2 linked regions of the Caenorhabditis elegans genome follow. The protein of the gene in region 2 purifies or fractionates together with the protein of the main gene of each other region. This does not show direct contact. Each region holds a gene or a part of one and is shown on either strand. Other genes may lie near its edges.

What was found.
Region 1: the proteins of let-716 (region 2) and snrp-200 fractionate together in Caenorhabditis elegans (co-fractionation; one large-scale study listed by BioGRID). This does not show direct contact.

The regions. Positions count from the first base shown.
Region 1 is NC_003280.10:12,735,185-12,738,937, forward strand, and holds the start of snrp-200 (U5 small nuclear ribonucleoprotein 200 kDa helicase), read right to left. Parts: upstream 1,727-3,753; 5' UTR 1,692-1,726; coding exon 1,253-1,691; intron 1,204-1,252; coding exon 381-1,203; intron 263-380; coding exon 1-262. Other genes in the region: pisy-1 (CDP-diacylglycerol--inositol 3-phosphatidyltransferase), read right to left, coding at 2,101-2,267, 2,320-2,579, 2,655-2,756, 3,009-3,142. UniProt on the Caenorhabditis elegans protein: Catalyzes the ATP-dependent unwinding of U4/U6 RNA duplices, an essential step in the assembly of a catalytically active spliceosome. Plays a role in pre-mRNA splicing.
Region 2 is NC_003281.10:6,381,740-6,385,492, reverse strand, and holds the start of let-716 (rRNA biogenesis protein RRP5), read right to left. Parts: upstream 1,942-3,753; coding exon 1,822-1,941; intron 1,778-1,821; coding exon 626-1,777; intron 583-625; coding exon 1-582. Other genes in the region: znf-622 (C2H2-type domain-containing protein), read right to left, coding at 2,592-2,722, 2,795-3,608, 3,665-3,753.

The DNA.
Region 1 (3,753 bases), on a different chromosome or scaffold from region 2:
CAGCGCCACGTTCGTCTTTCCAGCTCCAGTTGGAGCACAGAGCAAGAGATGCTCTTTGGATCGAAGAGCTGAATCACAGAGTCGGGATTGGATCCTGTTCAGCGACTTGTAGCCGTCGAAAGCCGGTTGGGCCCATTTCGGGAGCTCTGAGACACTGACGAGCTTCTCTCCTTCAGCAAATGGTCGTGGTTTGAGGGCTGGTACGTGGATTTCTTCGTAGGACTTTTTCTGGCGGCGGTAGGATCCGTCGGGGAGCTCGCATCTGCAAAATTGAGAATTTTAGGGTTTTTTGGGAATGTGGACTTTTAAAGTGCATAATGAATCAAATTTCCTTAATTTTCTAATGGAAAATCGTACTTTTAAAATAAAATTGTATTTACCTTTTATTGCTCATCAAATGAGATCCTTGACTGAACGTGAGATCGTTTAGATCCAACATCTTGCGGCCCGCCTGCCACTGTCCCGCACTGATGGCTTCATTTGCTGCTGTGGCGGCCTTCTTCGACTTCTCCGCGTCTCGTTTCGACTTTTCCACCTGCACAACAGATCCCTCATCAGTCTCCTGAAGAAGTGCAAGAATCGGATGAAGCTCTGGACGAGATCGCATATCATCTTCGATTTGGAGACGCTCCTTCTCGTTCGCCTGACGCAAAAGTGTACAGTAGAGGATCATAAGACGATTCTGGCGAAGGCACTTGATGAACTCGAACTGATCGAAGCCTAACAGCAGGACAAGCTGATTCTCGGCGTCACGATCGTCGGCGGCGTTCTTGAGAATTCCGATGACTTCCGTTTGCTTCTGTTGGGCGATCAGAGGATCTTTGAAGTACTTGGCGAGCGATCTTTGGATCCAATGAGCGTCGATGTCACGTGGATGAAGAATTCCTCGTGCTTTTTGCTCATCTTCCGTCAAATGACCATCTCCTTTGAGTGTTGCCGTGTAATCTGTATCCACACCTTCTTCCTCTTCACTCTCCTCCTCACTATCACCTTTGATCTCATTAACCATCCCACCGTCATCTTCTTCCTCATCCGAGTCGAACTGCACATTTACACCCTCATTCTCGTAGATGTCTCCATCGCCTTCAGGCTTATTCTCCTCTTCGATCGAAAAATCGCTGATCTTCTTCGATAAGTTGATGAGAACTGCGATACGATCGTCGGTGAGCGGTCCCAGAAGAGCTTCCACTTCTTTCTTCTTCTCTGAAAAAAAAATATAAATTTTATTGAAAATCTTCGATTTTCACCTCACCTTTATCTCGGAATTTGTCGTTTTTCAGCGTGAGAAGCACCTCGTCAGCGGCTCCGCACAGAACCTCGCGTGGAACATCGCCAAGTGCGTCCAAAATGAAAGACAAAATCACTTCATAAGTCTGCTTCGTCTCCTGGGTTCTGGGCTTGTAGGCTCCCATGAGCTCATTATTGTCGACAAGGACATTCCGGCCGAACTGTTGTGCTTTCTCGTCGTCCTTCTTCTTTCTCTTCTTCTTCTGATCCTGCACCGGCGCTTTTCCCTTGATCGCCCGGTCACCCATCTTCATTTTGCGCATCTCCTTATCCGTGATCGGCAGCACCTCGCCAGTCGGCTCCTCTCTGCCACGCCGATCCGTCAGATTGTAGTCGACCGACAGAACCAAGTTGGAGTTCTGCCGGTACTCATACTGCTGGATTCGGGCTAGCTCGTCGGCCATTGTAGTTTGTAGTCAACTCGGGATAGTCGAATATCCTGCAAAAATCGTGGGATTAAGGTTAAAAAAATCAAAACAAGAAATAAAAATTGAGAGAAAATAGATAAAATCGGCTGGCTGAAAACCAATTCGAATTGAATAATAAATGGAAAATAAAATAAACAAAATAAATATTATTTTACAGAGTAAGTACATCGGGAATTTGCGAAAAAAAAAATTACGGGGAAAAAAATTACAGAGAAATATGTTCAAATTTGGAATTAAATGGAAATCGGAAACATTTTCCTGAGACGAGAGCACTAAAGGACTAAAGCTAAGCGTAAAGCTCGTGAATTAAGTAGTGGGGAATGTGTATACAAAAGCTCATGGGGAATCAGAGGAGAATCTTGGAGACTTCGGGGAGATCCGGAGATCATTGGGCCTTCTGAGCAGCCTCAACACGGAGCTTCACATCGTGAGCAACGACCATCTCGGCGGCAGTGTACAGATGGACGACGGAGATGGCGGACTTGACGAAGGCAATCGGGAAGGCGATGAGTGGGAAGATCGACATGAAGTGGAAGTTGAAGATCAGTGGTCCTGAAAATTAGAGGAATTAATAAATTATAGCAAAAATAAATCAAATATTTACCAGCCCAGAACGCGCGAATGTAGAGCAAAATGTAGAAAGCCTCATTTCCGCCGCACATGAATCCGAGGAACAATCGATCCGTGTAGTAGAGGTTCAGAAGCCAATTCGAAGACTGCTTGTGGCTCGTGGCACCGGAGAGATCAGTGGCGTGAAGGTGAAGCCAGTGAGATGCGATGTCGATTACGGCCGACAGTTGAAGCAGGAACAAGTGATCCGGGTAGAACTTGCAGAGCGCCATCACCAAGGCCAGCAGGGCGCAGCTGAAAATATGAGAATTTTACCGAATCCAATTTTTTTCTCGAATTTTCCAGCATATTTGAGAAATTTTAACGTACCGATCGGTGAGCTGATCGAGCATTGCTCCAAATCGGCTCGATTGATTGTAGGTCCGTGCCGCCCATCCGTCAAACGCGTCGAGTCCGGCGCTGAGTGCATAGCTGAAATTATGAGAAATTTTAATTACGAAAATCTAATTTTCAGGACTTTTCTTCTGAAAAACCTTGTCAGATGGCATTGTAACTCTTCAATTATGGGGGAAAATTGAAAAGAAACCTGGTCACCTTGATTTCTTTACCATGCATCGCAAAAATACTCGACATTTCAGTGAAAAAGAGATGAAAAGTAGTAGTAAACATGGATATTAGCTAATTTTTGATGCAAAAATCGATTTCCAGCTCGCCAAAACTCACCAGAACATTGCACACCATGGCGCTGACGACATGTAGTACATGGCCAAAATGGCGAGTACTATGCGTCCATAACCGATGAGATTCGGGTAGAATAGCCACACATTGTTGTTGTTCTCGGCGGCTGTCGGTTCCATTTTAAGCTGAAAATATTGTTTTTGAATAAATGAGAACGAGAAATCGATTGAAAACACGGGAAAACGAAAAAAAGCGATAAAAAATGCCTTGACAACGGTCCATCTGCTCCAAAGCAAGACATTTTCGAAAATGGGAAGAGAGCGGAGACGCAGATGGTTGGAGATGAGAGAAGAGCTAGAAATTGTTTATTCTCGCTTCATTTGGCTAGCTAATAAGATGGAAAGCTTTTAAGGCAAAAATGTAGGAGTTGGAAGCGTAAATGAGGAGAATTAATGGGAAAAATTAAGAGAACTGGGATTTTTTTTCGAGAATCAGTTTGCATATGGCCGAAAAACTTGTTTTTGCAGCAAAATCAGCTAAATATTCAGCATAGGAACACGCTTCAATAAGAAAATATCAAAAACCTCTCAATAAGTCCACAGAATCGTCCGATTACTAGAATTCCAGCGAAATAGTTAACTATTGCTCTTCCCAGCGATGCAATGGTCCTTGTCACACAATTTATACTTTAAAAACGAATAAATCTCACAATTTAGAACATTTTTGAGCTAAATTATTCAACAAACTGCCGGAAAACACTAAAAATCCAATAGAAAAACCTCAAAAAATG
Region 2 (3,753 bases):
GTAGATCTTTCCAATTGATATACCTCCATCAGCTGGGTTCGGTCTCTGAACCAGTTTCTTCTCGGAATTTTGTCCATTTGCAACAGCAGCACTCGGGTTAACGTCACGAAGCACAAATACAACTCGGTTGTCCTCGATCTTCTCCACATTAGCAACTACAAAATCGTTGTTCTTCGGTGTTCCTGGCAAATGAACGGCGGATTCCTTTCTAAGAACTCCACAAATGTTATTGAATGTTCCGAGAAGAAGAACTCCCGTTGGGAAAACCTTTCTGATAACGCATGGAACAGTAACTCCAATCTCCAACTCTTGAACACTGTTGACGGACGGACTTTTCAATCCAAGAATAGACTCTCGACATGTGACGATTAAATTTTTTCTCTCGTCGCAAATCTGCCATACACGACATTTTACTTCAGTTCCAACTTTATAGATGTTCTTCATTTTTTGCGCAGGAAGTGGCTTATCCGAAAGCATGCTCAAAGGAGCAAATGCTTTTACAAAATTACACACCATGAAGTAAACTCCACTTTTTGCCACGTGATGAACACGAGCATCAAGTACATCTCCACACTTTGCATCCTGAAAATATAAAAATGGAATATTTAATTTTACTTTTAATTACCTGATATTTTGTAATTTTTTGATTCAAAATATCTTTTCTCGTTGAAATGGTGATCGATCGGTCTGCATATCGAAATCCTGTGACTCGACACAGCTTTTCCGTTCCAACTTCATACTCAGTAGAAACTTGATCTGGTTTTTCCAAAAGTCCTCGAGATGACACCGCAGTGACCAATGACTTTTTTCCATCGATAGCAGGGAGAGCAAAGTACACCATACTTTTGGTTGGGAGTACATCAATTACAGTGCACTTGACTTTGTCTCCAATTGAAATTCCTTCAAACGATGTTCTTTTTTCGATACGACTGGCAGCAACAATATCTGGGTGTGCATTGAGTACAAGGATTTTTGAATTTTGTTGACAGAACATCACAATTGCTCTAATGGCTTTCCCGAGCTTCTCCGGATTCTCACGAAGGCGCGGAGGCAAATTTCGGCGAGGGAGAATTCCTTTCAGGCCATTTCCAATGTTTACAATGACTCCAGCAGTAACTGCGTCTCCTGTTGGCTCACATTCGAGAATTGTTCCAGGCATCAAATGGTTCAGTTGGAGCTTCTCACAAGACGTCATATTCAAATTGTCCTGCTCCACAAAGGAAGTTACTTTTACTACTCTTGACGTGGAAGATAGAACTCGAACAATAAGTGGCATTCCTTCTTTCAATCCTGCTGCTGGAAATTGCGATTTCTCGATGAATCCTGTTATTTGATCAAGTCCAACATCCAGAATAGCACCCTTCTCCTCAATACTGACGACGGCGGTATGAAGAACGAGACCGGCAGCCAACATATTTGGAGAGAGATGTTTGTTGAGCCGAGCTGGGTTGCAAGTTCCTTTCACCTTCCCTTTGTCGTTACCTTGCTTCTTACTAATCACACGAAATGGAACCATCTGGCCGAGTTGAAATGCATTCTTAATCTCAATTTTTTCCTCGTTGAAAAGTTCCGTAAACTTCTTCGAGACTTCTGAAGCATGAATCTTGACGGTATGTGTACCAGCGGTATGCAGAAGAACTCCATCATCGAAAACCTCAGAAACTACCCCAAAACCTGTGAGTCCTTCAATGAAGCAGTTCTCCTCAACCTTCGGAATCCAGCTAGATTCTTCTTTAGCTTTCTTGGCCTCGTGTTGTTCTGGGGCTGCGGACTTTCTCTAAAACTTGAATACTTAGAATGAAAAGAGAGATAATAACAAACCTTTAGCCCTCCTTTCGTTCCTACAAAGTCCGAGTTGGATTTGTTCAATGGTTTTGGCTTGTCCGAACCACCACCACGCGGGAAGCACTTTTCGTTTGTTACCTCATCTAGTTTAACCATCTGAAACAAAATATTCATCACCCCGGAAGAGATATTACGAGTAAATAAAATATCGACAATTTTTTGAAAACAAAAACATGGCATTTTCTTTTTTTTTTTCGGGGAAAAATTAATGAGAAAATGGAAAATAAAATTGTAAAAAAATTCTCGGAAGATAAAAGTGTGCAATCACCGCGACGGACTATTGCGGACTCGCATACCGTAGCCAATCAAAAGAAGAAGAAATGTTTTCGAAAAATAAATATTTAGAAGGCGAGAGCGAAAATGTATAGTTCTATTTTTTAATTGCTTAACAAAAGCGACGTATTTAGCAAAAAATGTTCAGAATACGCCAAGAAAAAGCTAAATTCTAAATAGGGAAGATTTCGTTGTATGATGAATAAAGTTGAAGATTACCGTAGTAAATGTGTTCGTTGTGAGACCTGCGCTCGTAATAACTTGGTCCTCCCTTTGAAGAAAATTTTGGTCAAAACACTTGATCTAATTAGAATTGTGTTGAATTTGAAAACCAGATCATTACCAAATCCCTCTTTGGTATATCGAAGCGAATTATTTCAGATGGATATTCATTGAAAAATGTCAACATAACGGGGGTAACGGCAAAAACAACAAGGTTAGCAAACAGGAACAGAAAAATTGGAATGAAGTGGTCAATGATTGTCTCCGACGAATCCGTTTGTCTTGAACAACTTGTTCGACTTGACTGCCACACGCAGATCGAAACGACGACGGAAACGCTCAACGAACTTCATGTCTCGAGCAACCTTCTTGGCCGCGACAGCTGAAATATTATTTTTGTTACATTTCTTTTTATTTCTACTATTTGATGTCATAGAATTCTAATAAAACTTACTCGTAGTTCCAGTCCAAGCGAGAGCTGGATAGAATCCCTTTGCTTTATCGAGTGCTGCTCTTGAAACAAGTCTCTGTGTACCATCAACTGGGCGAAGGTATTGTTTGAAATATCGATGAAGGTTACGGTGTCCAATTTTAGCTCCAGAAGGGAGAGTAAGCGACCATCCATCATCAAACAGTTCTGACTTATCTTGATCATCTCCATCATACATCGGACTGTAATCATAGTAGTCGTCGAGCTCAATCATGCTTTCAGGATCTCTGCGGAGTTTGCAGTGCTGCTTATCTCGCATGTGCTGCTGACAACTCTGAACTGATTCGTATCTGGCTTTAACGTCTGGGCAGAAGATACAGCAACGACCAGCTCCAACTTTAAGTCCCAAGTAGCTTAAGCATCCAAGTTCATCGCTCAAGTATTGCCTGTCTGGAAGTTGGAATCCATGATGGAAGTTCATATGAGTACGCATTTCATCCATATTAGGCTTTGTCTGTGGACAAAACAGACAAGATGTGACTGGAAGAGCATCATCCTCATTTAGTTCCTCCACACCTTCCTCCTCATCGTCAGTTTCCCATCCACTCGAGTCATCATCTTCATCATTTTCAGGTTCCTTTAGTGACTCAGGTTTCTTTGGCAAATTCTCTGGCTTCTTTCTTGGTTGCTTTGGACCTTTCTTCACATCATCCTCAATCTTCTTCTCATTTTCCTTGTGCTTTTTGCTAGCTACGTGATCAGTCATTGCATTCTCCGATTTGATTGATTTCCGACAAGCCTTGCAGTACAATGGTTCAACTGAAGCAGCAACGACTGGCTGAAAAATTGATAATGAGTAAGTATTAAGCGAACATTAGAAAACTTTTCCCCTACCTTTGTTGGGTTGAACGATGCAGCTTTCTCATTGAAAAGCTCAATTCCTATAGCTGGAAGCTCAGCAGCTTGTCTTTTCAGATTGTACC